4 linked regions of the Stegostoma tigrinum genome follow. The protein of the gene in region 3 interacts with the protein of the main gene of each other region in a pairwise test. Links are inferred from orthologs where the notes say so. Each region holds a gene or a part of one and is shown on either strand. Other genes may lie near its edges.

Region 1 (7,235 bases), on a different chromosome or scaffold from region 3:
AGAAGGTCAGTATTATTTTCATCCTTTGCAAAACTGAGTAATACAGTAAACCACTTCCAGTTCATAAAAACATTGCTATTCAAACTCAGATTTCCCCAGCGTCCTCTTGAATTTTAAAATCTAGCTCTGTACATCACAGAAGACAATAATGATTAATCAGAGATCTCCTTAATCGCATAGAGAAAAGCTACCCACACACAAATAAAAGCCTCACAAAACTTACAATGATTGACATGCCAAATTATCAAGATTTTTAGTGCCTACGGACTGTGAAAATCAAATTAAACAGTGATACTGTATGGCCCTAATTCATAGAAAAACTCAAGAATGACTCCAGTTTGGTTCACTCCAGGTATTACTAAGATAATCAGCAGAGCCTGCCTGTTTACACTATAGGCACAGCAGGGCATCCTTGATCACAGATAATGGAGCAGCGATGGGTAGATGCTTGGACAGTGACGTCAGACATAACTAATGTCACCTTGTTAGTGTCTTATGTTGCTGGGCAATACCAATATATTCAAAGTTATTGAGACAATTTAAACAAAAACCAGTTATACCTCATAAAAATGCAGCTCTGTCAGGGTGTGCAACACTAAGTTATTACACTAAGAACTCAGCTCCAAAAGTAAAATTTGCATTAATCAAACTTGTAAGTATGGGCTCGGTGCCAGAATTAACCTCACAAAAGGCTGTAAACTGTTGCCTGGGGAGGCAAAGTTCCAATTGTGAAGGATGCCAAACTCTAACTGTGAACATAACATTTTCAGGACTGAGCAGAGGACAAAACCAAATTATGAGAAAGGGTGAAAACAGCAAACTGAAAGTATCAGCTGAAAATTTAGTAGAAAGTCTAATGCCCTTGTGAAATGAACATGATCACTTTGGTGTGGAAGAAGTGTCAAAACCCAATCTTCTCCCATACCCATGGTCTTTTCCAACAAGATCAGCATTTATTCCACCACAAAGTAACATGAAAGAATTCCTCCAACCTCAGAATCATTATTTACTGCACCGGAGTTGAAAGACACACCAAATTAACAACTGATTCCATTGAATATTAGGAAGTAATATCTGCAGAACAGTCAGTTTCACGGAGTTTTTAACAATGGTTTAGGAATATAATTCCAAATTTTTGGATAACAGTCTGTCAAAATGACTAGCTTCACAGAATCAGTAAATATTCAAACCCGTCCGAGAGGTTATTACAGGTACTTAATGAAGATGCATGTGCATTGAACAGACGGTTACAGCAAACAAGTATTTCATCCTAAATGGCTACATGCTAATATGGGAGCGTCTCTAGCCACCTGACTCCCATTGCTTCTCTCCCCTTCTGCAGTCATAACAAGGGGTATCGACCATCTTGTAAAAACATGTTTATCGCCTATCAAAATACAAGTCAGGGTGCAGTGTAAACACAAAAGGAAGTTGGACAGTTGTGAGCCTCTTACCTTTTTCTTTTCATCTTCTTTTGACACCTTGTTACTTTTGCTCGACCTGCAGTTTTTCTGATCCCCTGTCTGTTTGATGGTGATCTTGATCTCCGGAGGGCAGATGTAGTTCTCCAGGTTCTTGGGAGGTTTCTTCGGCCGTTTGGTGGTCTGGATCTTGAGTTTCAGGCTGCCGTCTGTGAAGTTCGCCTCCTTGATGGAAAACTCGTGTTCCTCCAGGCCGTCTCCCTGCATTGATTTATCACTGTCTGTGTTGGAGTTGGAGTCCTGGCTACCACTGGCGCTCTCCTCGTCGTCCTGATCCAGCCTCCCCCCGTTCATCTGGCTCCCAGGCGACTGCATCAAGGCTCCAGGAGAGACTGCGGACTTGGCAGTGCAGGCAGCCGACCTGAAATCCCCATCAGCCGGCTTCTGCCTGCAGCCCATCGCCGTATCCCTCTGCTCCATCTCACTCAGCGTCTGTGAGAGGCACAGGGAGCTGTGGGGAGAGCAGCACTCAGCACTTCTCAGTGTCCTCCGTTACTCCAGAGTAATCCGATCCCCCAAACAAAACAAAATAAAAACTGCAATCTGGAAACAAAAATAGATACAAAGTAGAACTGTAAACATCAACTGGGTGGAAACCCCAATCGAACTGACTTGCAATTCCAACTCCTTTGAATTCGCGGTCAGAGAAAATAAATCAGATTCCTGTGGCAGTAATATTAAGTTGTTCCAAATTTTTTTTAAAAAAAGCAACCACCCCCCCCTCTAATCCAGCGAAAGGTTCCACTACCAGTTAAAATAATGGGCGCATGTTCCAATTCGCCTTTTATTAATTAAACTATAACAGCGCTCGACATTTTCTTTCCCAAGACAGCCACGACAGCAAAAAAAAGTTAAACGTTCGTCACATTGCCCTCCGAGAGAGACAAAAACAAAATTCCTCGGATAAAGGCTTCTCGTGTTCCTGCAAACCAGTCCAGCAGCCACGTTACGGGCTCCTGTCAAATGAAGCCACTTTCCTTTACCTCGAACGCACCATTTACTTCATTTTATCGTTCAGTCCGCTCTCAGTGATCCAGAAGCCTTTTTCACATGTCGACAATGTCAGGTCTGTCATGTTGCAATGGCTTTTTTTTTGTATATGTGTGTGTGTGTGTGTGTGTGTGTGTATTTAGAGAGAGAGAGATGTACAAGGTTACAAGTCGATCTGTTGCAGCGTCCACACGCTCCTGCTCCCTCGGTAAAAGCGCCTCAGATACAATGAGAGTTGGGCTGGAAAGCTGCAGCTGCTGGAATCCGATGCTAGAGGCTCTCTAGCTCCACTCCAATTCGACCAAAAAAAAGACGGACTTTTTTTTAAACAACCGAATTGCACCATCAACTCCTTCTCACTAAACACGTACACGACTTTTTTTTCTTTTTTTGGTTCCGTGGCAATGATTGAAATCGGCCACAAAAGAAACAACACCCTCTCCTCTCCACCCCCCCCCCCAAAACACACACATCCCAGACGTTTGTGGGGGGGGGAGGACTTAGGAAAAAAAGATATCGCCAATTTGCTACTTACTAACCCATATCCAGCGCCGAGAACCTGTGGTCTCAACTAGTCCCAAAGCTGCGGAGCTTCTGGAAACGGCATGATCGGATCGGATCGGATTCGATCTGTCAAACTCGAGCACAGCCTCCTCCCCTCAACACCACCACACCACCCCCCCCCCCCCCCCACATCCCGCACCTTCTAGGCTCCTGATCCTGAACAGAGAGCAAAATATGGCGCTGAGGAAGTGCACTGAGGATTGGGCTCTTTGGGAGATTCGATCAGCGAACACGCCGGGCTCCCCACTCCATTCCGCGGCAGTCCACTCCAGCCCTGATCGATCTGCAGTTTCTGTGTGTGTTAGTGTTACAGTGTGTGTGTGTGTTAGTGTGTCTGTCTGTCTCTGTATGTGTGTGTGTGTGGAGGGCTTACTGGGAGCAAAGCACTTGTCGAGGCCGGGGCTTCCAGCGGCAGCTGCTGTAGCCGTGGCGGCGGAGCCGTGCAGTTTGCGGGGATGTGGGCAGGGAGTGAGTGTGTGTGTGTGAGAGAGAGACAGACAGGGCGCTGGGGAACGGGCTCACAGCTCACGGCAGTGATTGCTGCAGCCGCTTGCCTCCTGCGAGGCCTGAGCTTGGAGGAGCCTGGGCATCTCCCTGCCCGTCAGCACCGACTTGCCTCTTGCCCCCGGGGATAAGGGTAACACTCAGATCTAACTCCGCCCTCACATTTTACACTCTTTATACTTCGGTTTGTTTGGGTGGTGACTATTTGGTATCGCGCCTGCTGACTGTCTTCTGCATTTTAATAGATTCCAACTTTATTTTCGTTTATTTACTCCGCATCCACATGTTCTCTCTTATATCTTGCTTCCTCTACGTTGTAGACAGTACCCCCCGCCCCAACCTCCTCTCCATCTTCCCTCTGTGGGAAGGCCTTCTTCCCTAGTGCTGTGTTTTCTTAACCGCATCCTCCTTAAAGGTGACCCGTGTGTGGGCAGCGAGTTGACAGGTTTCCAGGAGTCTGTTTCCAGCACCTAACTGAGTGTATAATTGGAGCTGCCAGTGCTGAAATCACACATGAAGTACGTTAGGATCTAGCACTTATAAGTAGATTCCCAATCAGACTCGGTGTAAGAAAAGAACACACACTTTGTGTATGCCTCGGTGAGCTTCGAAGTACCAAATGATCAAATTTGGTGGAAAAGTCATTCATCCCTCTTTTTTCTGATTCAGCTGGGTATCTTTTGCACTTTTCCAGATTTTCCCATGACAGCCTTCTTATCCCCGAATGTCAATGCACCGCAGTGCTTCACTCTCACAAGATGGCACCATCAGCACCTCGGTGGTATTCAGGCTGAGCCCGTCCACTCCAGGTTGGGCACATCCTTTTTCCCATTTTTTCTCTATTGTTCTTTGTCTTTTCTCCATCTTCCTGACATAGCAGGAGTAGTGTTGGCAGTGACCCCTAGCTTGTAGGCCAACTGCGTGATTTTCTGGAATTGCTGTGTGGCAGCGGCTGCAGCAGTGATGGAACAGGGACTCCTCCCTGCGGTGGATCCGGAGTATGGGTTCTTTTGACAGTGGCGGATCGTTGACTGCAGCTGTGTAAAGGCCTGGAGCAGGGGCTCCTGGCTGACGTAGGCCCAGAGCAGCGACCTTGCAGAATTGTGGAGCCATATTTGGGACCCTGGCCAATGAAGATAAACTCTATTTTTTATTCTTTTGTGGTACCAGATTGTGGTAACAGAATACTTTTCACTGCATCTCCCGAGCTAAATGTAACAATAATTCATTCATTCATTCATTCAAAACATCGTTTCATTCATTCACCAGGATTGTACCAGAACTTCCTGCCCTTAAAAGATCAATGCCCATAACACCATTGTTATAATTTGTCTTTCCTCTGATAGTGATATAAAGGTTAGATATGGAGTAAGAAATTGTTTGGTTGGATGGTCAAAGATAGGAGTTAGTGTAACTCCTGATGAGACCTGCCAGGAATACTTACAGCCAGAGTTGACAACTTTAATCTGCATGGGTCACACACTATCACTCCTGTGTTATATATACTGTAGGATCTCAGATACCAATATTATGATAAATCATATGCATCAATGTCATATAATGGGGATCTATCCGTGCAAAATAATATGTCCAAAGAGTACTTGCATTTCACTTTTCATTTAGAACTTGCCATTGACCATTTTGAGTGTTTTCACTGAGTTCATTTGAAGGATATGCTTATGAATTACCACCATTGAAACTTAGGAACAAAAACAGAATTTGTTAGAAAAGCTTAGCAGGTCTGGCAGAACATGAGGAAGGGTCACTGGACCTGAAACGATACCTCTGATTTTTTTCTTCACGTGCTGCCAGATCTGCCAGCAACTTCTGTTTTTGTTCCTGATTTACAGTATCCGCAGTTCTTTTGATTTTTATTCACCGTTGAAACTTATTTCGGCGACAAAGTAAAACAAAACATTTCCATCAGCATTAATAGACTGGTTTCACTATTTTGTACTTAACTCACCGCCAAATATCACAACAAACTTGGCCTCAGTACTAAAGGAATAAATTGGAAGAACCTACACAACCTTTTGCTCAAACAGTAGAAACACAAATGGCATCCATACAACCCAGCAGCCTTACAGCCTTGACTTTAAATGGCATGACTATTACTGAACCCCCCATTATTGATATCCTGGAGACACAAGACAATAGCACAATGGAAATGTCATGTGACTGGTAATCCAGAGACCAATACTAGGCATTGGTTCAAAATCTGCCACACTAATTGGTGGAATTAAATGCGAGCGATCTTGAGGCACAGCAGTAGTGTGCCTATTGCTAGGCCTCAAGGTCTGAGTTCAAGTCCCACTTGCTCCAGAGATTTGAACTCATTGAATCCTGACAGTATGGAAAGAAGCCATTTAGCCAATTGAGTCTGCACTGACTCTCTGAAGAGCATCTCACCCAGACCCACACAATCCCTGCTTTTACCAGGACCAATCTACATAATTTCCACATTTTTGGACTGTGGGAGCATTGTGCAGTTGGGTAAAGTACTTGTGGAATGGGAGGCAGGAAGTTAGAACTTGGTGTTTGTGCAGTGATGGGGGAAAACATTGTGTGATCAATTTAAAAGATGAGATAATGGGAACTGCAGATGCTGGAGAATTCCAAGATAATAAAATGTGAGGCTGGATGAACACAGCAGGCCAAGCAGCATCTCAGGAGCACAAGAGCTGACGTTTCGGGCCTAGACCCTTCATCAGAGAGGGGGATGGGGAGAGGGAACTGGAATAAATAGGGAGAGGGGGGAGGCGGACCGAAGATGGAGAGTAAAGAAGATAGGTGGAGAGAGTATAGGTGGGGAGGTAGGGAGGGGATAGGTCAGTCCAGGGAAGACGGACAGGTATTACAAGAGAGTTGCAATGGGAGAGAGATTCCCTGAGGTTGGTCCGGAGGGAGGAGGGTAACTTCTTCAGGTTAGGCATCCCTGGAAGAGGCTTCACAGTGAGGTTAAAATAGTATCAGAGATAATGGGAACTGCAGATGCTGGAGTTTTCACAAAAGCTGATGTTTCGGGCCTAGACCCTTTTTTCAAAAGCTGACGTTTCGGGCCTAGACCCTTTTTTTAAGATGATGTGCTTTTTCTACGCTTAAAAGATTTAAATGGATGTTGCTGAGCTTCAGCTTGAATGCTTATAAGTACACAGAGAGCACCTGAATTGAAATATTTGTATCAAAAGGCCACACAGTTAGCATGCCTAGCAGCAGTTTTTACCAAGAAAACAACTTTTTGAATTTAATTAATCAACATGAACCAGGCACTTAGATACAAAAAAACAGTTAAATTTAAACCTGATGGTTTTGATAACATAGAACCAATCCCATTATCAAAAATTGTTATGTCTTCAAGAGTAGAAAAGAAGGGACAGTTCTGCATAGACAGCAGAACAAACTGCCATCAGCTGGTGTTAACAGCCCTCAACTCGCAAGAGAGAATTGCTAGCTCTCACAGACTGCTGTGTTTTAGAGAAAACACCATCTAAAGAACAAAAGTACCCACATCACAAACTAGTGAATATTCCTGCCAGAAGTCACATAACCTGGCTGTAGTTTTGAGAGACTACTTGTTGGAACAGCATACCATTAGAATCTTGTTTTATTCTGGAATGGTTAGTAGTTGGAAGGATTTTATTTGGTTGTTAATAGTTTAGTTAATTTGTTCACTGTTAGAGTTAGATAATTAAGTTG
Region 2 (7,929 bases), on a different chromosome or scaffold from region 3:
CAATAACATAGATTTGTTGCCACCATCCTCTTTTTAGATTGAGATCTACAGGGCTGCTTTATCTAATATGGCAGAGGAGAACCACTAAGTAGTCTATTGAGGAGAGACTGCAGGCTGACGCAAGTTGTAGTAATTGCATGTAAGTAATCAGATATATGGCATATTGGTATGATAGACATTTTTCCAAAGATTCTGGAGAGGCGTAAATGTTCGGTATGTCTCTTTTGAGATCCAAAGTGGTTCTTTTACCACCTAAGGTCAGATGACATCATCATTTTTGGCAGAGCTCATTGTAGATTTCAACATTAACCCCATCAGAACACATTACACTAGTGTGTGGCAGATTTAATATTTTGTAAAACCCCACCATTCATAAGGAATGCTGTTGCACTTTGGTTAGTCTAGCTTTGCAAAGGTTACAGCTAGGTTACGAACATTGGACTAACGAATGTTCGTATTTACAAACACAATCCCATACAGGGTGTGTAAATTAAAAGACTTGACATATGAACATTTCCTCTACTTACAAATGACTGCTTAACAATGTCCAGTTTTGTGCTTGGACATACGTACATATTAACTCACAAGCAGATTCAAGAACAGAACCTATTTGCAATGCAGGAACTGCCTATACATTAACTAATTTATTAGATATTAAGGAACTGTGTACAATGTTACATGCATATTTTTATTTTCCTGAAACCATGATCATTTTCCCTCCAACTCTCCCAATCATGTCTCCTCTTACATCATCAATGTGGGGCAGTCCCGGACCTTAACCCTAACAAGATGAATACTACACCTCCTCCTCCCAGATCTTCCTCCATATTTGCTACATTTATATTTGCATGCTATTCCCACCTCCGCCCCAAGACTCAGACACAATAAACTCAATCCATCAGAAGGTCACTTCCAGATAGTGCTCATTTCAGGCCAGAAAGGTCAGTTGTACCTCGCTGAATTCTTATGTCTTGACTTGGATGGACTTCATTCAGACTTGTAGTATTTGTTATTTTGTTAATTTCTGGGTCAATGTCTAGCTCATCCATCGGTAAGACTGATTGTCATCTTTATAATAGAAATAAGATCCCTCCCATTTCTCTATATAGTGTGTATTAAGTAGAATGTCTCTCGAATGTAACATCTCTGGACAATCACTCCACCCCGACTTGGTATCTTACCTATACCTCTTCCACCAACCTGATATGGTACCTCCTGTTATAGAAAGCTGGAAGTTTCACTCTCAAACATTTCTTTTCTAGTAGATGTTGGATGCCCAAGTCAGCCTCTCATTTAATCCCATTTACCCAAACCCAAGGAACGGATACTCAAGATAGACCCACCTACTTCCTTCTGAAATCTATGAAGTCACCATATCATTTGCTAGGACATCTTGTTTAATCTTTACTCAGAAAGTTGTTTGACATAGGGGACATGAGAAAGAATGTTATCAGTATTAGGAATGGTTTGTTTCAAAGCCTGTATTAGAGATATGTTATTGGAAAAGGTTTGAGGTCTATGTTGAACTATGTTTATCAACCCAGCAGGCCATTATGGAAATTCTCCTGGTGGGAGAAAGAAAAAATTATTTCAGTTGTATTCAATAAAGTCCTTAAGCTTTCATTAAGTTAATGAACAATGATTTCTTCCATTCACTATTAACCCACGTTCACTGACCTACATTGGCTCCAGTCAAACAATAGCTTGATTTTAAATTTTCAGTCTGGGTTCCAACTTTCTCTGTAACCTCTTCGATCCCCACAACCCACCGATATATCTCAATCCTCTAATTCTGGTCTTTTGGCACTGCAATTTTAATCACTCCATCATTAGTGGCCACGCCTCCAGTTGCCAAATTCCTTAGCTCTGAAGTCATGTCCCTAACTCCTTTTGCCTCTTTGTCTCAGTGTCCTTGTTTTCCCTAAAATTTGCATCCTTCACCATGCTATTGGCCACCTGTCCTCATACAATATCTCCTTATATGGCTCAGGACCAGAGTTTTATTTTGTAATGTTCTTGTGAAAATCATTGGGACTTTTTATTATGCTGAAGGTGCTATATAAATATGAGGCATTGCTGGAGTATTAGAACCGCATATAATTGGCCATCTCAATAGATTAAAGAAGCTTTCTCCAGTGACTCACACTCCACTTGTTATAAAAATTATATTTTAGATTTATTTCATACCCTCTCCACTATCCAGAAGTCAATATAGTCCGAGCTTGAGGTCACCAGTCACGAGTTATGCTAAGGTCCTACTTTACAGCTTAATAACCAGGTGGCTCTTCCTTTTTTAAAAAAATCCTTATAATAAACTCCACAAATTTGTTTGACTTCAACTTTCAGTATTTCTTGTTTCTGTAATCATGTCAACCATTATGGTGTCAATAAAGGCAACAAGTGCGAATCTTAACACTCTATCATTAGGTAGCATTATTGTGACAAATTATTTCCAAAAGTTAGCAATCATTGTGGGTGGAAAGTCAGGGTTAGTACATCTACGTGGGCGTGGATACCATTAAAATGGCAAATGCCTCAGCAATATCATTGATTGAGGTCAAATGAAAAGAATTGAAATGAGTTGGTAAAATAAGCTACCAATTCACAGCCACTCATTTTTCATAAAAGCAACATACTATGGATGCCCGTTATCTGTGACCAAGCCTCCGGGAGTCCATGTCATGCAAAAGATGCGTGCAGTTTCTCTACCGTCGTCCCCATGTTTGACAGATGAGCGCTTTGAATTGGCATCCACAATGACGAAGAACATCAAGCCCATGAAAGGACCTGAACAGTCGATGTCCAGGGTTTACCCAGCCATTCCCACAAACGAGGGGCAGCTGCTGTAATTTCCGTCCATGTTGGCACTCTTGGCAGTGCCCCACCAACACATCTACGTCTGTTTCAAAACCTGGCCACCAGACATAACTTCTTGCCAACATCTCCGTTTTGTAAACCCCTGGATGACCCTGGTGCTGTCCCGCCAGTATCTGATGGCAACCTTTCCTTGGGATAATCGGTGTTGCTCACCGCAATAATTTGCCATCCTCTACTGTGACCTGGCCTCTCCGGGCCAAAAAACTATTTCACTTCTGGTTGTGATGGCCCTTTGGACCTGTCTTTCACAAAACCAACATATTGTGGGTGGTGAAAATCTGAACTAAAAAGAGAAAATGTTGAAGACACTCAGCAGGTCTGGCAGCATCTGTGGAGTGAGAAACAGAGTTAATGTTTCAAGTCCACTAAGACTCTGCTTCAGCCAATTTTACACAACTGCTGAAGCCACATTTAACCACCAATATCTGGATCACTGCTCTGTGTGCCCTCTAACAGTCTTGTTCACAACCTTTATCGAACAGCAATGGACCGGCCAGCCAGCAGGAAAGAACAACCTTAGTTTCAGTGCCTTTGCCTTGCACTGCGGGGACCTTCTTCACATATCTTGACTGCCTCTTCTTATTCTGGTAATATGAAGCCGACAAACTGATTCCTTATTAGATCACCTACTTCTGTTAAGAAAGAAGAGAAGCTCAGTCGGACCCTACTCTTTGCCCTCCCACTGAATCCCGATGTCTAACAGAGCTCTAGCTATATACTAGCACATTTTCAAAATCAATGTTTCCTGAAAAGTCCAATCAGATATGTTAAAAAATTGAAAATATTTTGAATGCTCTTGTGCGTTATGCTTATCATTGGCCTCTTTTTTATGTTTTCTCCCAGTTTCCCTTGAAGTTTTTTCTTCTTTCACTCCAGCAACAGCAATACAGGAGATTGTGTCATTCTCCAAGTCGCTGGGAAGATACTGTTTACTCACTATTAAAAGTTCAGATTATCTTAAAATGTCAAAGATTGCACGCACACTTCCATACTCGTTAACTTAATCTTCTCCATTTAACCAGATCTGTTGGGAAGAGGTAAGTTTAAAGTGGAGTTTTGTTGTCCAATACCCATCCATTTTTCCTACTTCTCTTTGAAGAAAAGCCGTGTTTCCTTAGCGATGAACTCTACCTGTACCCCTGCTTTCTAAGCCCAAGTCAGTGTGATCAGAATACTCAGGGTCAATAGTCACATGGCACCAGGTTATAGTTCAACAGGTCCATTTGAGATCACAAGTGCTGCTCCTTCATCAGGCAAGTGACTTCATCTGACGAAGGGGCAGTACTCCAAAAGCTTGTGACTTCAAATAAACCTGATGGACTATAACCTGGTGTCGTGTGACTTTTGACCATGTCCCCCCACCCCCCCCGCCCCCCAGTCCAACACCAGCACCGCCACATCAAGAATATTCAGATCCAGCTTCACAAAGGCCAGGATTCATAACCCCAATTTTAACTCATTTTTAGCACATTGTCATACATTAAGGTCTAAGTTCAAATCCAACTTCTGAGGGATACCACATCAATTTTCTTGTGTTGGATTGCTTTAAGCACAAGCCAACTGGAAATGATAAGGTTTCTGATCATTTGTAAAACAACCAGAACAAAACAATCGCATGTTTTACATTCTGCTGTATTTTGTAGGGGCTATTTAAATGAATTGAAATGTTCCTTCATTAACTCAATGCACAATCATTTATGTCCAAAATGTCATTTCAATCATTCTAATTGTTCCCAAAGCAGTGCTTCAAGTCTAAATAAAGCTTTTTTTTTCCAGTTTCAGGACAGCAGAGCAGCAGCTTTAACAAGAATTACAGTGCTGGAGTCAAATTGCTTTTTTAAGTTCTCCATCGAACTGAGCTGGAATGTTTGCTATGAGAACACATTCCTGATCACTCCATTTGTTTGGAGGACTCTGACGACCTTTCATCTGTTAGAATTTTCACAACTGCATGCCTGATGTGGCCAGAGCTAAAATTAACATCAAAATTTGACTTTGGCAGTCAGACACATTGGCAGGAGTCTGTATAAAAGCAGAACAGAATACAATCGGAGCACAAAAGACGATTTGGTCTTTGGAAGCTTATCCAATATTTCCTGGCCATCCAGGGGTGCTAGAAAGGAGCTGGTGAAGTAGAATTTTGAGATTTAAACTGTATCTGCCTTCCATGAGTGTAAAATCCTCTACTGCCTTCAGATCTGAGCGTTGCTTTCATCAGAACACCACTTCCTCCTCTTCTTCTTCGGGTCCAGCTTTGGATCAGTACATGGATAAATCAAGAGGTCTCTTTGGGGACGAGTTTGAGAAGTCCTCAATCCTCCATGGAAACTTTTTGAGGCCCCGGACTGAGCAACTTGGATATTCAGGTAAGTGCAATCCGCCCAGAGCAATGAATTCTGTAGTCACATTTATTAACACTAGAAATTGAATGGGTCCCCTTTTTTAATTATTTAAGGAGATGGCACTGCTTAAAATTTGAAGTTGTGTCTTGCATCTGAAAAGAATTCACATGGAAATTCGAAATAATTCTGCAAAAACGGAAAGTAATGATCAATAAATCTCAGAAAAGTGGAGTCATCATGACCCACTGTGCGATAATATTCCCCAGGCAGCTACAATTGAACATAAATTAAATACGTTGAAGTGAAGGTAGAAATGTAAATGAAGAAGATAAAGTTAATTGAAAGTACATTGCAAAATTTAAATTAATCTAAACTTTGAAATGAATGGCCATACATTAGCTTAATTCGGAAGTGTGCATTTAATTGAATGTGTGGTTATTATATTAAATTAATTGTCTAGATCCATATAGGGAACAAACTCAGACACATAAAAGTGAGAACAGAATAAGAATAAATTCTACCTTTTGTATACTAATCATGGGACAGGAAGCTTACTAGGGTGCAAAGCTAATTGACATTTACAAAACTAACAAGTCCCGTACTAGAGCAGCAGATTGAGAAAGCACAGAGAAAAACCTCGCTGTAAAAATCTTTCAACTGCCTTGGGTTAATTTAGCACACTGACTGTGGGAGTGAATTTCAATTCTGCATTACTGTCTCAACCTTGGGATGACATTCCAGATTTTAAGACATTGGCCATGGCTAAAATGCTTGTCTTGAAACTCTTTTTGTGGGATTGAGGATGCCAGTGAATACTCTAAATAATTACTTAATTTGTTTTTCTACATTTCTTGTTTGGAGGTTTACTCGAGAGCAATTAAACTCAAACGTTATCTGATATAATACAATCAGATGTGTATCCTTCTAATGGTCAAGTGTAAAAATTACATATTGATCCACAAACATCTCCCTTAACCTGTGCTTATCGAAACAATGCTAATGCATTAAACTTATTCGCATCACATAATAGTAAAAACATTTGAAAATCTCAAGTATATTTCAAAAGTCGTGATATTTGATCGATATGATCCATCTGTGTCGCTGATGTTTAAAGCTAGTGCTCAGGTTATCAAGGTTACAGATGACAACATGTATAAAGAATGATCCAGTAAAGATCAAGTAACCTCATACAAAATCCCAAGAGTTCAGAAGTTGATGAGTGTACTTTATGCACAGACATCCACACAGAGAAAGCTATTAGCATGAAGTAAATATAACTGGAAAAGAAAATAAAACAAAACATATTGAGAAAAAGGAGCACCCCTCTGGGCTCAGTGAGTGAGTTCACAGTGTACTGTGTGTAATCACAGAGTGGCTAAGTACCATTTGGTTCAACCTCGGGTGTGTTCTTCTTCTTCTGTTGTCTGCATGAAGAGAGGTCTGACCCACACGGCACCATGACCTCCACCACATGTAAGCCCCAAATCTACCCCAGCCAGAACAGAGATCGAACACCATGCTGTGAACTCCAATCTGACCCACACTGGTCTTCCAGCTAATGGGGATAACTGTTGTCATGACCATTGATCATAGCCCTGGATCAAGAAGGGACCTGTCAAGCTTTAATTCCAACTTGCTTTTTTTAAAAAATGAAAATGATACAGATAAAATGACGGTGGATATAAATTCAGTGGCTGCCTGAAAAGAGACCACGGAATGTCACTCCTATCAAGGTGTCAAGAAAGCTTCAAAAGTATGAATTTAAAAGGGAGAAATGCTCTACAAACTGAACTGTTACCTTCTGAGAGTTATTTCAGGCTGTGAACGTAGTGGGAGAAAGGACAGCAGTCTGGGTGAGAAATATGGTTTGGGTTTTCCCTTTCAAGAATACTCAGGGTTAGGTGCTTCAGCTCTGGGCTGTGTGCATTAGTGGCCTGACATTCTAGTGTCTGGATAAATGTGCTGTGAAAGTCACAGTTTTGAGTATAGCCACTAAACACCTCTGAACTGAAAGTAAAGAAAGGGAGAATAATCTCTCTTAATCTGAATGCTTCCAGTCAGCTACTGTTGAAAGGAACCAGGACAAATGAATCTCAATCAAGCTACAATGTCAAGAATTTCAAATTGACTGCCAAACGGTAACTGCTGGTATTGGTGCCAGTGGCTATTTGAATGCGATTGGTAACATCCATTGTAAAGGTCGAAATATCTTATTATCCACTTTCCACGAATGACACAGAAGCTAAGTTGTATATCTTTTTAAAAATATTATTGTCTGGACTCACTTCTTATTCCTAAACCATGTGCATGCATTGTTATTTCTTCCTGCATTTAATAACAAATAAATTCATTCTTTTGTTAACTTAAGAAAACTTGTTTAAGGTGTCTCTTTTCAAACTGCAAATTATTTTGGGAGAAAGGCATTCACAAGCAAGGAGGCCTTTTAAAATTAAATTTGTCGTGACCAAATGAGGAGTCGGGTGAATAAAGAAGGGGAGACCATTCATCTCTCCTCACCTGGGATCTTGACAATTTGGGATAGCCCATCTGGAACCGTAATAATTTAGGGAAACTGGATCTGGTCATAACACCACCCCATCACCCCCCACAACCTGCACCCCCACCAGTCAAGAATTCCAGGTTGCTACGGCAATGTACTTTTCCATACATTGAGCTATGGGTACTGATGGTAAAGGTTCAGATTTTATTA
Region 3 (7,441 bases):
AACAAACTGTGATCTGACGAGATATAACACAGAACCAAAGGAGATTATTCCGACGACGCCGACTCAAATAAAAGCAAGTAAACTCACGCTTTTAAATTAAGAGATCTGAAAACAGAACATTTTGGAAATCACAGCGGGTCAGGTAGCATCCTTGGAGAGAGAGCAAGTCTAAATGACTGTTCATCAGAGCATGAAATAAAATTTATTTTTTGTTTTGAAAATGAGAACCATACTAGACTTTATTTTGCAAAAAGCAAAGAACTGTGGAGGCTGGAAATCTGAAACAAAAATCCAAACAAAAATCGAAACACAACAGGTCTGGCAGCAGCTACGAAGAGAAAACAGCTATAACGTTTCGAGAAGGGACCTTTCGTCAGAGCACAAGAATCACTGGACTCGAAATGTTAACTCTTTTCCTAACAGAGGTTTCCTATTATTAAGCTCTAATACCTAAGCGTTGGACATTGGGGTCACCTTTAGAATTGAGTTTGTATTAGTATTCCATGTTTAGTGTTTCCTGTCACCTCACTTAACTGTGTTGCAGTATAAACTAGCTTTTGACAAAGATACACAAGAGATTTACCAGGCACCACACTACTCAATTATGAATACAGCATTTTAGAAAATCAGAAACTTTTGTTCTGAGAAGGAACAAAAACTAATCTTCATAAAGGAGATGGGCAGGGGAGACAACGGTCATCCTGGCATCGTGTATCTTCCCATAATCATTGCCTGAGAAGGTTTAGACAGTTGCTTGACACAGCAGAGATGAGTAGCACCAAATTAAGATACATCAACAGGGACAGGTGGGAAGAAAGAGAAAAAGTGGATGCACTACCTTGATGGGACCAAGAGCTGCCCTACATCAGTCCAAGAGATGAACGAAGACAGGTCCAACTCAGACTACATGATATGAATGATGAACAGTCCAGCGCTCCTAGTTTTGGGATTAGTGGAATAGTCTCATCGGTCACTCTTGAATATTTTTTGTATAACTAACCAAAGTATTATATTCAGAGATAATGGATTCTCCAGCATCTGCAGTTCCCAAGATAATAAAATGTGAAGCTGGATGAACACAGCAGGCCAAGCAGCATCTTAGGAGCACAAAAGCTGACGTTTTGGGCCTTCATCAGAGAGGGGAATGGGGAAAGGGTTCTGAAATAAATAGGGAGAGAGGGGGAGGCGGATCGAAGATGGAGAGAGGAGTGTATAGGTGGGGAGGTGATATGCCAGTCCAGGGAAGACGGACAGGTCAAGGAGGTGGGATGAGGTTAGTAGGTAGGAAATGGAGGTGCAGCTTGAGGTGGGAGGAAGAACAGGAACAGCTATAATGTATTATAATCAACTGCTGCTTCTTAACAACTTCAGGAAACTATTTAAAAAGTGTTTCAAATTGTCCACTGCCTATATCAGGTAATGTGATCATGACATCCAAAATCAGCAGGCTGTCAGAAGTGGTATATCTGATATCAGATGTCTGAACAGAAGTCAAAATTTAATTGGCTTTAAATTTGGGAAGCATCAGTCTTAGATTGTAGCTAAACATTTGTGGAATAACCCTGAAGTGAAACCAGAAAGGTGCAATGGCTTTGGCCTTTTCTAGACAGTTAATAGAAAGCTTGATTGAGAAAGTAGGACACCTGAAGCAAAAGATGACTGTGATGGGAATTACAAATCTATTTTTGACAGAGTCTGTCAGGAGGTTTTGAAGGATGAAGTTAAGATAAAGAAATTCTGTAATAAACTGGCCTTCAGCACCCACGTGTGCGCCTTGCAGTTGAGTAAGAAATGCAAGGAATCTAGGGAACGAGTTACAAAGTTAAAAAGGGAAAGTGACATCTTAGAATTAAGACAGCAGATAGAAACATGTAATGAGGGATACTATAAGGAGAAACAGAGAAAATATTGGAAAATATTGAGTTGAGAGCAGAGGATGCAGGATTGATGGGAGAACTAGAGAATAAAAGAGTTAACTAAAATTAAACAACTCCAGACAGAAATTAGCCCACAACAAGCAGTGAATCTACATTCTTTGCTAGTGTGATAAGCGGCCTTGATACATATGGGGAAAGCAAGTACAAGAATGCTTTCCCCTGGTGATTTCAAGCCTTTTTGAGACATTGCAGTTGAAAGCAATCTCTCCTTCTTTCATAGAAGTGAAACAAAGCAAAGCCAGTATATGTGGTAACAAGAGCCATGCTGAAAAGTGAGGTAGGGTGTCAAGACTTGAAGGCGAGAAGGGAGCCCTGCTGCGGTTAAAGAGGAATTCACAACCATGTAGAGACCTCTGTCACCAGCTGAGGCTAGGCCATTAAGGGAAGAATTGGTTATGACAATAGATATGAGTTTTGATATCCTTCTTCTTACATCAAAAAAGGAAATGTTTAGAATCTCATATCCTGGAGTTAGTGATTTCAAACAGCCACCAGCTCCTAGACATAAAATAGAACTGAAGCAGGATATTATGGAGGGGGAAAAAAAGAGTATTTAGTAAATTAGAGGAAGACATGAGAAGGGCAGTGGGGGTAGTAGGTATTGATTTCCATAAACGTTAGTTTCAAACCGTCACCACTGAAAAGTCTAATGTATTTGAAGAGAGATTTCCTGACTGCCACCAATGAACAATGCTACCCCACCTCCATTTCCTTTTTGCTTATTCTTCCTGACAATCAACTCCCTTGAATATTGAGCTCACACTACTGGTCACCATGCAACCACATCTCATTAAATCTATCATGCTGTATTCATTTATTTGAATTTGTCCTTTCAACTTATCGAACTTGTTAGAAATGCTGTGAGCATTCAAAAAAAAAACAGATTCATGCTTTGTCTTTTCACTTTATTACTTATTCTGGTCTTAATTTCTGCTGTTGTCTTCTGCATATCTTTTCTTCCCCTTTCCTGTCCAAAGCTAAATTCTGAATCCTAATACCTACCTCACTTGCAGCCACACCCTCCTGTCCTTGATCAAGGACTAAATTTCACGTAATTAATGGATGTGTGTCTCCTGAAACACATGTCCACGTACCTCTCCCCCTTCTTGATGTGGTGTTGCAGTGCCCACTGCAATTCAGACTCCAGCTTATCAACCCTGAGTCGAAGTTCCTTGAGCAGCTAACACTTGCTGCAGACATGGCAACAGTGAATCATATTGGCATCCACAAGATCCCACATGCTACAGCTGCAACGTGTCATCTACTGTATTTCAGTAATTAATTTCCTAACTGTACTCCTCAGCTGTAATAGCATTTCCTGATTCAAACCACTTAGTCACTCTAAAGAGACACACAGGAAATTACCCAAAAATCATCTAGCTATTTTCCTTCACACTTTAGCTCTGACAGGTAGAACAAGTAAACAGGACACTCTGCCATTGTTTTATCTCTCCTACAACTGCTGTCTTTTCAAGAAATCTATTCTCCTATTCTGCTTTACACTGATACTGACCTGCAACACCCTCCTACCAATCAACTTCATAATGATGTTGATGATGCAAACTTCTCCCAGACAAGTTCCTGTCTTTCAAGTCCTTAACATCAAGGATGTTTCACCCGTATGAGCATGGAAGCAAGGCAGAAGGGAGATTGCAAATGCAATAGTGAAAGAGGATCAATTGTTAACAGAACAGACAGGCATTTCTGCAGCTGCAGTATAAGTCAATTTAATATATTGCTTCTGTGGTGACTAGGTTCAGAATGTTACTGAGCAGCTGAAGTTTATTCTGGAGGAAAGAGTAAACAAGCAATGAAGAGGCCTTTATTGCATAGTGGTAGCGTCCCTACCCCAGACCAGGAGGTCTAGGTTCAAGTCCTACGTGCTTCAAATGTGTGTAATAACATCTCTGAACAGGTTGATTAAACCAAAATAGGCTAAATTGAAGAAAAAAATTAAACACCAATGATTGAGTTCTAAATTGATACTATTAACATAAACATGAGTATTGTGTTTTGATCCGGGGCTAAACCAATAAATTTATGTTACAGTCTGGCTAGGGACCAGTAACCTGTTATTTCCAAACTCTTCAAAATGTAAGATTATGGGGACATATTGAGAAAGAGAAAGAAGATTTTACAATTTTGGGCAAACAGTAAGCTTTATGATACAACATTTGTAAGGCAATCTGTAATATAAACTCAAATTATGGCGTAACACAGAATAAACATTTGTCTCAGTTTATGATCAAACACCCAAGAGCACACAGCGTATGGCAGACACAAAATAAACACCGCCCCCAACCATTTTCTCTACATTATCCCCCAGATGTTAATTAGATAATGGATCATTAAGACTCATCAAACTTCATAAAGGATTACAATTCTTCACATGTATTGATCTTGCCTCCATTGAAACTCCCTCTCTAGTACAGTACCATCATGAATAGCCTCAAAATTCTGGTCAAGCATACCTTTACCTCTATGCTTAGCTGGACTTCAAAAATGCTCCCCAATGTTTATTCATACACATAACTCTAGTTCTTCACTGACAGCTATTTTCAACAAGCTAAAGCTTTCTATGATTTTTTTCTCGCTCTGAGGTCTAATCTTCCTCAGTTACATCCAGAAAATTCTGCTTATTGGCTTTACAATTCCCATTCACTCAGTTGTACTGAAGTCGTGACACGTGCAGCCTTCCTCTGAACCCTTCATGTTTTCCCACAACACAACCAATGAGCATGTCACTTTCTTAATTTCGCAGGACTTCTTCTGAAGCATGACTCCAATATTTAGCTGCCCACTAACTTGAAGAATATCCTCCTGAGTTCAAACAGCACAGACCCATCTAACTCCTTGCCAAGTTCCCTACCCAGAATTTGTGTGGTTCAGCTGCCTACCTAGCAATACAGACAACTGCAGCAGACCTAATATGTACTCAGCATTTCTCTCCCTCTGTATCTCCCCCCTTCTTACACACGCACAGACTGTAAGCTTTGAATTCTTCTTTCATGACCCCTGAATTGCCCTGAGTTACAAGATTTTGCAATAAAATTTTCCTATGGCCCAATTTCAGTGATTAGGGTGTCTGTACTGGGGATCCTTTCATTCCATGACCCCATTCAAATTGCACCTTCCAATTTGCTCCTATTTTTCCTACAAAAGTACACTCCCTCACATTTATCTCTGTTCAACATCATTTGCAAATAATTTCCCCATTCTGCGAGTTTATTAATGTTTACCTGGTAATTTCTTGCAATCCTCCTCAGTATTGGTATCATTCCAGCTTTCTGCCATCACGGAATTTAGAATTTTACTTTGATTGAAAATTTTAAACAGTGAGAGAATGAGACTTTTCACTTAAGGGGAATAGAAAAACTAAAGGCAAATAATACAAGATTATAATTCAAGATAGACCAAAAATATTAGGAAACTTCCTAGCTCAGAAACTAGCTGAAGCAAATTTTATGTATATGTTTTAGGGGAAACTATCTAAACAAGTAAAGGAGAAGATATCAGGGAGTAATGCTGATAGAGTAAGATGAGGAAGGACTGGGTATGGTTCAAATTGTGCATAAGCCCAAACATTGACCAGTTAGGCTGAATGGCCTGTTTCTGTCCTCGTGATCACTGCAATTCTATGTGATCCTTTGTTAACAAAATGAATCAAATCCATGACGAATCTTCGTAAATATTTCTGGAAATGTTTGAAAAATTCTAAGAAATGTTTCCTCAGTGAATAATCAGAATCATGCTAACTTCATCTGTTTGTCATCAAAATGTTTTTTTTAAATCAAAGAACCAACTCACACTGCCATCTAGCAATTGGTATTGGAATAGGCTGTTAATGTTGACAAAACTGCGCCTTGTCTAATGTTTTCAGTTTTCATTTTGATGTAAAAATTAAAAAGTATTTATGTCTGCACACTATTCCAGAATGAATGATAATTTCAATGAAGCTTTCATACATTTCATTTGGGCATTTCCTTTGGGCTTGAAGATCCAAAATAGCACTCTGAACTAATCCAGTGGGAATCCAGTGGATGGAATATTTTCCAACAGTATGGTAGCATTGGATACTCGGGTACCTGAGTGTTTACAGACGGACAGGTGGACTTTGTGGCTTTATTCTCCAGTAATGAGGACACAGGGATGGAGGTGGGAGAGTGATCTGGATGGTCCATTTTCTTTTGGCTGTTTCTGTTATTTCTGCTTCTGTTTTTAATTCTGCTTTTTGTACACTAAAATGGATCTGGAGACTGGCGACTTTGTACACTTTTCACTATACTCCTGTACTTCTGTGCTTGAGTACACATGACAATAAAAGTAAATCTAAATCTGATCCATCAGCCAGAAAAACTGTGCCAAGATTGTATCAAAAAACTGACTTTTTGTTGTGAACTATTATTCACAAGTGGCTTAAAAAGTTAGCCAGAACATTTTAACTTTCCCTTCTTAAGCTAGATCCTAAATTAGATTTGTGTAATTTCATGAAGCTATTCTGACTGTAGAGAAGTTTGCCAGCTGGCAGCATACAACAGATATACAAATAAATGTTGCCATTATTTCCAGAATATTGAATTTAAATTCTAATCCAAAATATAACTTAGTTAAATTCATCTTTACTACGAATCTCCCAATATATTTTAGTTGAGAAAATCAGATTGCATATAGGATCAAATGTTCAAAATGCAATCTGGTGTACTCTCCCTCAGTTTTTTCTGAAATTTAAAGGAGACATTACCTCTGTTCCAACAGCCAATGGGAAATGTTGCACATTCTAAATGTACAACATGATCCAGCTGAATGTGATTTTCTGATGTACACTCATTTGTAAGCAAACACTCCAAAAGTCTTTTTATCTTTGAGGGATAGAAGATGTTTGCAGAATTCTGGAAGGTTTGTTACATGCCATAATCGATGCCCTTCAGCCCATTGTGTTTGAGCAAAGCATCAATTTTCTAATCCCATTTTCAAACACTTGGCCTGCAGCCTTGTATGCTATAACATTTCAGGTGTTCACCTAATTATAGAATGTTAAAATCATACAGTACAAAAAAGGATCTTCAGCCCATCACATCTGTACTGCCAACACAAAGCTAAATATATTCTAGTCTCACTTACCAGCACTTGAGGCACCACCTTAAATGTTATGACACTTCAAGTGTTGATCCAAGCACTGTTTAAAGGTTGTGGATGACTCGTCTCAACTGGCAGTGAATTCCAGACTCACATCCTTTCTGGATGAAAGACGTTCTCCTCAACTCCTCTAAACCTTCTGCCTTTCACCCTAAAACTGTATCCCCTTGCCTTCAACTAGTTTCCTGGTCCATATGGAATAATGGAACCACATTAGCTGTTCCCCAGTCCTCTGGATCCCTTCTATGGCCAGAGAGGATTCAAAAATTCATGTCAGAGCCCCTGCAATCTATTCCCTTGCCTCCCACAGCAGCCTGAGATACATCTCATTTGGCCCTGATGATTTATGCATTTTCAAGCCTGGTAAA
Region 4 (7,753 bases), on a different chromosome or scaffold from region 3:
TCGTCCCCTCTCTCTCCTCCCCGCTCTCTCTCTTCCTCGTCCCCTCTCTCTCCTCCCAGCTCTCTCTTCCTCGTCCCCTCTCTCTCCTCCCCGCTCTCTCTTCCTCGTCCCCTCTCTCTCCTCCCCGCTCTCTCTTCCTCGTCCCCTCACTCTCCTCCCCGCTCTCTCTTCCTCGTCCCCTCTCTCTCCTCCCCGCTCTCTCTTCCTCGTCCCCTCTCTCTCCTCCCCGCTCTCTCTTCCTCGTCCCCTCTCTCTCCTCCCCGCTCTCTCTTCCTCGTCCCCTCTCTCTCCTCCCCGCTCTCTCTTCCTCGTCCCCTCTCTCTCCTCCCCGCTCTCTCTTCCTCGTCCCCTCTCTCTCCTCCCCGCTCTCTCTTCCTCGTCCCCTCTCTCCTCCCCGCTCTCTCTTCCTCGTCCCCTCTCTCTCCTCCCCGCTCTCTCTTCCTCGTCCCCTCTCTCTCCTCCCCGTCCCCTCTCTCTCCTCCCCGCTCTCTCTTCCTCGTCCCCTCTCTCTCCTCCCCGCTCTCTCTTCCTCGTCCCCTCTCTCTCCTCCCCGCTCTCTCTTCCTCGTCCCCTCTCTCTCCTCCCCGCTCTCTCTTCCTCGTCCCCTCTCTCTCCTCCCCGCTCTCTCTTCCTCGTCCCCTCTCTTCCTCATCCCCTCTCTCTCCTCCCCGCTCTCTCCTCCCCGTCCCCTCTCTCTCCTCCCCTTCCCCTCTCTCTCCTCCCCGCTCTCTCTCGTCCCCGTCCACTCCCTCTCCTCCCCGCTCTCTCTTCCTTGTCCCCGCTCTCTCTTCCTCGTCCCCTCTCTCTTCCTCGTCCCCTCTCTCTTCCTCGTCCCCTCTCTCACCTCCCCGTCCCCTCTCTCTCCTCCCCGTCCCCTCTCTCTCCTCCCCGTCCCCTCTCTCTCCTCCCCGTCCCCTCTCTCTCCTCCCCGCTCTCTCTTCCTCGTCCCCTCTCTCTCCTCCCCGTCCCCTCTCTCTCCTCCCCGTCCCCTCTCTCTCCTCCCCGCTCTCTCTTCCTCGTCCCCTCTCTCTCCTCCCCGTCCCCTCTCTCTCCTCCCCGCTCGCTCTTCCTCGTCCCCTCTCTCTCCTCCCCGTCCCCTCTCTCTCCTCCCCGCTCTCTCTTCCTCGTCCCCTCTCTCTCCTCCCCGTCCCCTCTCTCTCCTCCCCGTCCCCTCTCTCTCCTCCCCGTCCCCTCTCTCTCCTCCCCGTCCCCTCTCTCTCCTCCCCGTCCCCTCTCTCTCCTCCCCGTCCCCTCTCTCTCCTCCCTGTCCCCTCTCTCTCCTCCCCGTCCCCTCTCTCTCCTCCCCGCTCTCTCTTCCTCGTCCCCTCTCTCTCCTCCCCGTCCCCTCTCTCTCCTCCCCGCTCTCTCTTCCTCGTCCCCTCTCTCTCCTCCCCGTCCCCTCTCTCTCCTCCCCGCTCTCTCTTCCTCGTCCCCTCTCTCTCCTCCCCGTCCCCTCTCTCTCCTCCCCGTCCCCTCTCTCTCCTCCCCGTCCCCTCTCTCTCCTCCCCGCTCGCTCTTCCTCGTCCCCTCTCTCTCCTCCCCGTCCCCTCTCTCTCCTCCCCGCTCTCTCTTCCTCGTCCCCTCTCTCTCCTCCCCGTCCCCCCTCTCTCCTCCCCGCTCTCTCTTCCTCGTCCCCTCTCTCTCCTCCCCGTCCCCTCTCTCTCCTCCCCGCTCTCTCTTCCTCGTCCCCTCTCTCTCCTCCCCGTCCCCCCTCTCTCCTCCCCGCTCTCTCTTCCTCGTCCCCTCTCTCTCCTCCCCGTCCCCCCTCTCTCCTCCCCGCTCTCTCTTCCTCGTCCCCTCTCTCTCCTCCCCGTCCCCTCTCTCTCCTCCCCGTCCCCTCTCTCTCCTCCCCGCTCTCTCTTCCTCGTCCCCTCTCTCTCCTCCCCGTCCCCTCTCTCTCCTCCCCGCTCTCTCTTCCTCGTCCCCTCTCTCTCCTCCCCGTCCCCTCTCTCTCCTCCCCTCTCTCTCCTCCCCGTCCCCTCTCTCTCCTCCCCGTCCCCTCTCTCTCCTCCCCGTCCCCTCTCTCTCCTCCCCGTCCCCTCTCTCTCCTCCCCGTCCCCTCTCTCTCCTCCCCGCTCTCTCTTCCTCGTCCCCTCTCTCTCCTCCCCGTCCCCTCTCTCTCCTCCCCGCTCTCTCTTCCTCGTCCCCTCTCTCTCCTCCCCGTCCCCTCTCTCTCCTCCCCGCTCTCTCTTCCTCGTCCCCTCTCTCTCCTCCCCGCTCTCTCTTCCTCGTCCCCTCTCTCTCCTCCCCGCTCTCTCTTCCTCGTCCCCTCTCTCTCCTCCCCGTCCCCTCTCTCTCCTCCCCGTCCCCTCTCTCTCCTCCCCGTCCCCTCTCTCTCCTCCCCGTCCCCTCTCTCTCCTCCCCGCTCTCTCTTCCTCGTCCCCTCTCTCTCCTCCCCGTCCCCTCTCTCTCCCTCGTCCCCTCTCTCTCCTCCCCGTCCCCTCTCTCTCCTCCCCGCTCTCTCTTCCTCGTCCCCTCTCTCTCCTCCCCGCTCTCTCTTCCTCGTCCCCTCTCTCTCCTCCCCGCTCTCTCTTTATCGTCCCCTCTCTCTCCTCCCCGCTCTCTCTTCCTCGTCCCCTCTCTCGTCCTCTCCGCTCTCTCTTCCTCGTCCACTCTCTCTCTCTTTCTCACCCCTCTCCCTGCTCTCTCCTCCCCGCTCTCTCTCTCTCAGCTCTCGCGCCCCTCTCTCTCTCTCCCCACATCCCTCTCTCCCTCTCCCCCTCCCTGCTTTCTCCCCCCTCCCCACTGTCTCTCTTTCTCTCCCTCCCTCATCCTACTCCCCCTCTCCCCTCCTTCCTCCCTCCTCAGGGTGGTTTTTAACCTTTTGATGCGGAGTAGACAGGGCTGTGAGGGCTTCTCGCTATCCCAGTCGGTGCTGAGGGTCGGGTCCCAGGATGTTGCCTGAAGTTGGCTCAGGAGGCCGGTTGCCACCGAGCCGGTGCCTGGTAACAGAATCGGGCTCACGCTCTCCTCCAACGGAGCTTCCGCCATGTTCCCCCGACTCCGGCCCTCACTACGCAGGCGCGGAAACCCCCTCCACCACCGCCGCCCGCTGGTAACTCCGGGTATCACACACCGCCAATAGTGCCACTCGCTGGTGACTCCGGGAATCATACTCCACCAATAGCGCCACCTATTGGTTGCACCCCGCCACAGAGAAGGCGCCCCTATGGAAGGAAGCTAAGAAGCGTCACCAGCCGGTGATCCTATGGTACTGTAATGAAAATGGGCAGGTTCCAGAATCTGAGATAACAAAGTGTGGAGCTGCATGAACACAGCAGGCCAAGCAGCATCTGAGGGGCACAAAAGCTGACGTTTCGGGCCTAGACCCTTCATGAGAGAGGGGGATGGGGTGAGGAAACTGGAATAAATAGGGAGAGAGGGGGAGGCGGACCGAAGATGGAGAGTAAAGAAGATAGGTGGAGAGGGTGTAGGTGGGGAGCTAGGGAGGGGATAGGTCAGTCCAGGGAAGACGGACAGGTCAAGGAGGTGGGATGAGGTTAGTAGGTAGCTGGGGGTGCGGCTTGGGGTGGGAGGAAGGGATGGGTGAGAGGAAGAACAGGTTAGGGAGGCAGAGACAGGTTGGACTGGTTTTGGGATGCAGTGGGTCGGGGGGAAGAGCTGGGCTGGTTGTGTGGTGCAGTGCGGGGAGGGGACGAACTGGGCTGGTTTTGGGATGCGGTGGGGGAAGGGGAGATTTTGAAGCTGGTGAAGTCCACATTGATACCATTGGGCTGCAGGGTTCCCAAGCGGAATATGAGTTGCTGTTCCTGCAACCTTTGGGTGGCATCATTGTGGCACTGCAGGAGGCCCATGATGGACATGTCATCTAAAGAATGGGAGGGGGAGTGAAAATGATTTGCGACTGGGAGGTGCAGTTGTTTATTGCGAACCGAGCAGAGGTGTTCTGCAAACCGCTTTGACCATCGACACCCTCATCCGCCTAGCCGAACTCGTCCTCACCCTCAACAACTTCTCTTTTGACTCCTCCCACTTCCTACAGACTAAGGGGGTGGCCATGGGCACCCGCATGGGCCCCAGCTATGCCTGCCTCTTTGTAGGTTACGTGGAACAGTCCCTCTTCCGCACCTACACAGGCCCCTTACCCCACCTCTTCCTCCGGTACATTGATGACTGTATCGGCACCTCACATTTCATTATCTTTCATTCAATTCTGCTTTGGCGCAATATTTCATCCTATTCTCAAGCCCTTCACCTATAACAAGGTCACTCATTGCACCAGCTTTTCCAAGAAACAGAAATTAAATCAATAACGAATCAGTTTCTCTAGCATTGGCGGTATTTTGCTGTTATAAATTAACCAGTTTGGTTTCAGGAAACAAGTGGCATGTATTAGGGGCTGTGTGAAATCAAACATCAATTCGTAGCTGTAATATGCAATTATGTGCATTCGTAGCCCAATCTCAAAGGCAGGAATCATATGTGTCGTAGGTTTCTGGGTCAAGTTGAGCTTCAGGGACTCGAGCACATGATCTCAGTGGACGTTAGAGTGTTGATTGAGGGAGAACTGTCTTGGTCGAAAATGAGATGATAAATTGAGGAATTATCAGCCATTGCATGGGCTAAAGATCAAGGACTGAAGGTTAAGGTTAACGTTTCAAATCCGATATGAGTCTTCGGAGTCAAATAGTGTAGGTTAGATGGGCTTCAGATTGGTATGACAGATAGGCACAACATCGAGGGCCAAAGGGCCTGTACTGTACTGTAATGTTCTATGTTCTATGAAATATTAATTTTGTTTTTCCCTCCAGAGACACTGGCAGACCTGCTGAGTTTCTCCAGTACTTTCAACGTTTCAGACTTCCACCATCCACAGTATTTCTGTCTTTTTTTTAATGATTCCCATGGAATATTTCAAAGATGAGTGGAGTGTTCTCCCAATAAAACAGCTAATTAGATTTTTAAAAAAGAATGGTTTTGGACTGAGGGCATTGCTGGCTCAGCCAGTGTTCATTCAGTGTCCTGAATGAGGTAATGGTGAGCTGTCTTGTTCAAACTATTGCAGTCTTCAGAGGCACAGGACCGTGCACAGCGCTTTATGGAAAAGCGTTCTAAGATTTTGTTCCAGTGATGGTACAGGAATGGAGACAAATCCAATCAGGATAGAGGAACTTGCAGGTCGTGGTGCTCCCATGTATCTGCCGCCTCTGTCTATTAAGGTACTAGCGGTAGTGGGTTTGTGATCACCAGTAAACATTTCCACTGAAAATCATTGATGAAGCTGTTAAAGATGGTTAGGTCTTGGAGACTTCCCTCCTACTCCATTGGCAATAGTTTTCCAAGAGCAGTTTCATGCTACACTTGGTCAACTGCAGCTTTGATGTTAGGGTCAGTCAGTCTCACACCCACCTCCAGAGTTCAGCTCTTGTTCACATTTGAAGTAAGGCTATAATTAAGTCAGAAGCTGACTGTCCCTGATGGAACCCAAACTGTTAGTTTTTTTTTGTTCACCACCATTCACATCTGGATGTGATGTCTCCAATGTGATTGTTTGGTTGTCAGATCACTTAGCCTGGTCTATTGCATGCTGCAGCCACTGTTTGGCCCATTAAATGTCGCTTTACTAGATTGATATTTCATTTCAAGATATACTGCTTTGGAATGTCCTCCAGCACTTTTTATTGAATTGTGGTTGATTACCCAGCTTGTTGGTAGTGGTGGAGTTTGCAGGGGATGGGCAATAGGCCAGACCATGAGGTCATTTTGTGGTTGGCTGCAATTTTCGTCCACAGTGCTTTATGGATGTCCATTTTTGATTTGCTGGATCTGTTCAAAACCTGCCTCATTTGGCACAATGGTTGTGCCACTCATTTAACACACTGCTTTTTTGCAGAGTCTGTTGTATCTGCAATGATTATGTATGCATATGACTGGCACGTTTCCTGTATTACAGCAATGACTACACTTCAAAAGTACTTCATTGACTATAAAGAGCTTTGTGATTCACTTAGATGTGAAAGATGCCATCTTTGCATCTTCATACCTCTCATTATTGCAGCATCAACTGTGAAACAATTGAGAGTTTTACATTTATGTAGGAGTCAGGATTAACTTTGGTACCTTTGAAAAATCAATGAGATTGTTGGAACTGCTGGCCTTTATATGTGTGACAGCAAATACCTCACTCCAATTCTCAGTGTTTATGACAGGAAATAAACATATTCAAACCTTCATTTATTTGAAAACCAACTTTTATCATGTCCTCAGGCCAAATCGAAGTGAATTTTATAATTGAACACATCAAATAGGTAATAAAGTACAAATCATGATAGTCCACTAATGCCTGATAAACTGATCATTAGATGAAGGCCTTTAGTTTATCACAGTTCAAAACTATAAAATTCAAGGAGCCAACAAAAACAGATCTCTGCATCTTCACTTCTCAAAACTGCACAAACTTACACACAAGGTAAAACAAACTCCTCACTCCTCTTCCAGTTTCCCTCCAATAACAGAAAGTTTGGGTTATAAAATGCAACTCATCAAAAACATCTTTTTAGTAATCAACTTGTTCAAATTATTTCACACCTCTGGAGCAAGTGAGACTTGATCCAATATCGTCACTCGGAACATAGGAACAAGAGTAGGCCATTTGGTCCCTCCAACCTGTTTCACCATTCAATGAGATCATGGCTGATCTGTGATCTAACTCTACATACCTCCCATTGGCCCACATCCCTTAGTACCTTTGCTTAACAATAATTTATCTGTCTCAGATTTAATGAGGAGGTGGGGACACTACAATTATAGCACAAGAGTCCCATCTCCATATTTTACACTTGTACAATTTTGAATTAATAAGCTATAAAACAACTTCTTGTTCCTTGATATATTTCCTTTAACTTATTAAATTAATCCAAGGTACCTCACAGCAGAGAGTGACAAAATTGGACACAGAGCCAGATGAGGCAGGTGACCAAAGCCTAGTCAAAAAGATTGGTTTAAGGGAATCTTTAAGAAAGTCTGAGATGTGGAGAGGTTAAGGGATGGAATATTGAGATCGAGAAGGCTGAAGGCATGCAAATAGTGAAGTGAAGGAGCAAGAACAGAAATTGCTGGAAAAACTCAGCAGGTCTGGCAGCATCTGTGGAGAGAAATCAGAGTTATCATTGTAGATTGAGTGACCCTTCCTCAGGACTGATTGTAGCTAGGAAATGTTGGTTTATGTGAAGAAGATAGGGTGAGGGAAGGCATTAAGGAGAAATGATAAGTGGGGATAGAGCCGAAAGAGAGAGAAGTGCATTGAATAGACAAAGGAATGGATAATAATCTGGCTAGGAGGGTGAATAGCTATTAATGGTGATTGTTAGTGGCTAGTGCAGCACTGCAGCCAGCCTGAGACAGAGATGTTGGCCAGGCTGTCTTTCCCCTTGCAACTGCGATAGGATCCTTCTTATCCTTACCTCCCATCCCACCAGCATTGACATTCAGAGGATCATTATTTGCCATTTCTGCCACCTCCAGTGAGACACCACCATCTGACACATATTGCCCTCCCCTCCCCTCTCTTGTCAGCCTTTCACGAGGACTTCCTCTGGTTCACTCCTCTTTCGCCCCACACAGCCTCACTGCACCTTGCCCTGCAACCGCAGGAGGTGTAATACATGTCCATTTACCTCCTCTCTTTGCAGTATCCAAGGGCCCAAACACACCTTCCAGGTGAAGCAACACTTTACCTGTACTTCACACATTCTAGTCTTCTGCATTTGCTGCTCACAACGTGGTCTCTTCT

Evidence for each region.
Region 1: the proteins of plekhf2 (region 3) and setbp1 interact in binary tests that used the Homo sapiens proteins (3 or more experiments, as listed by UniProt). The two-hybrid records come from large-scale screens. The link is inferred for Stegostoma tigrinum from reciprocal best matches to the Homo sapiens genes PLEKHF2 and SETBP1.
Region 2: the proteins of plekhf2 (region 3) and hspb7 interact in binary tests that used the Homo sapiens proteins (3 or more experiments, as listed by UniProt). The two-hybrid records come from large-scale screens. The link is inferred for Stegostoma tigrinum from reciprocal best matches to the Homo sapiens genes PLEKHF2 and HSPB7.
Region 4: the proteins of plekhf2 (region 3) and ube2z interact in binary tests that used the Homo sapiens proteins (3 or more experiments, as listed by UniProt). The two-hybrid records come from large-scale screens. The link is inferred for Stegostoma tigrinum from reciprocal best matches to the Homo sapiens genes PLEKHF2 and UBE2Z.

The regions. Positions count from the first base shown.
Region 1 is NC_081354.1:135,006,526-135,013,760, forward strand, and holds the start of setbp1 (SET-binding protein), read right to left. Parts: upstream 3,110-7,235; 5' UTR 3,007-3,109; intron 2,997-3,006; exon of another isoform or gene 2,465-2,996; intron 2,025-2,464; 5' UTR 1,902-2,024; coding exon 1,455-1,901; intron 1-1,454.
Region 2 is NC_081381.1:31,712,830-31,720,758, forward strand, and holds the start of hspb7 (heat shock protein beta-7), read left to right. Parts: upstream 1-4,865; 5' UTR 4,866-5,044; coding exon 5,045-5,243; intron 5,244-7,929.
Region 3 is NC_081358.1:92,323,048-92,330,488, reverse strand, and holds the start of plekhf2 (pleckstrin homology domain-containing family F member 2), read right to left. Parts: upstream 3,168-7,441; 5' UTR 3,138-3,167; coding exon 3,032-3,137; intron 1-3,031. UniProt on the Homo sapiens protein: May play a role in early endosome fusion upstream of RAB5, hence regulating receptor trafficking and fluid-phase transport. Enhances cellular sensitivity to TNF-induced apoptosis.
Region 4 is NC_081384.1:4,560,272-4,568,024, reverse strand, and holds the start of ube2z (ubiquitin-conjugating enzyme E2 Z), read right to left. Parts: upstream 3,002-7,753; 5' UTR 2,992-3,001; coding exon 2,822-2,991; intron 1-2,821. UniProt on the Homo sapiens protein: Catalyzes the covalent attachment of ubiquitin to other proteins. Specific substrate for UBA6, not charged with ubiquitin by UBE1. May be involved in apoptosis regulation.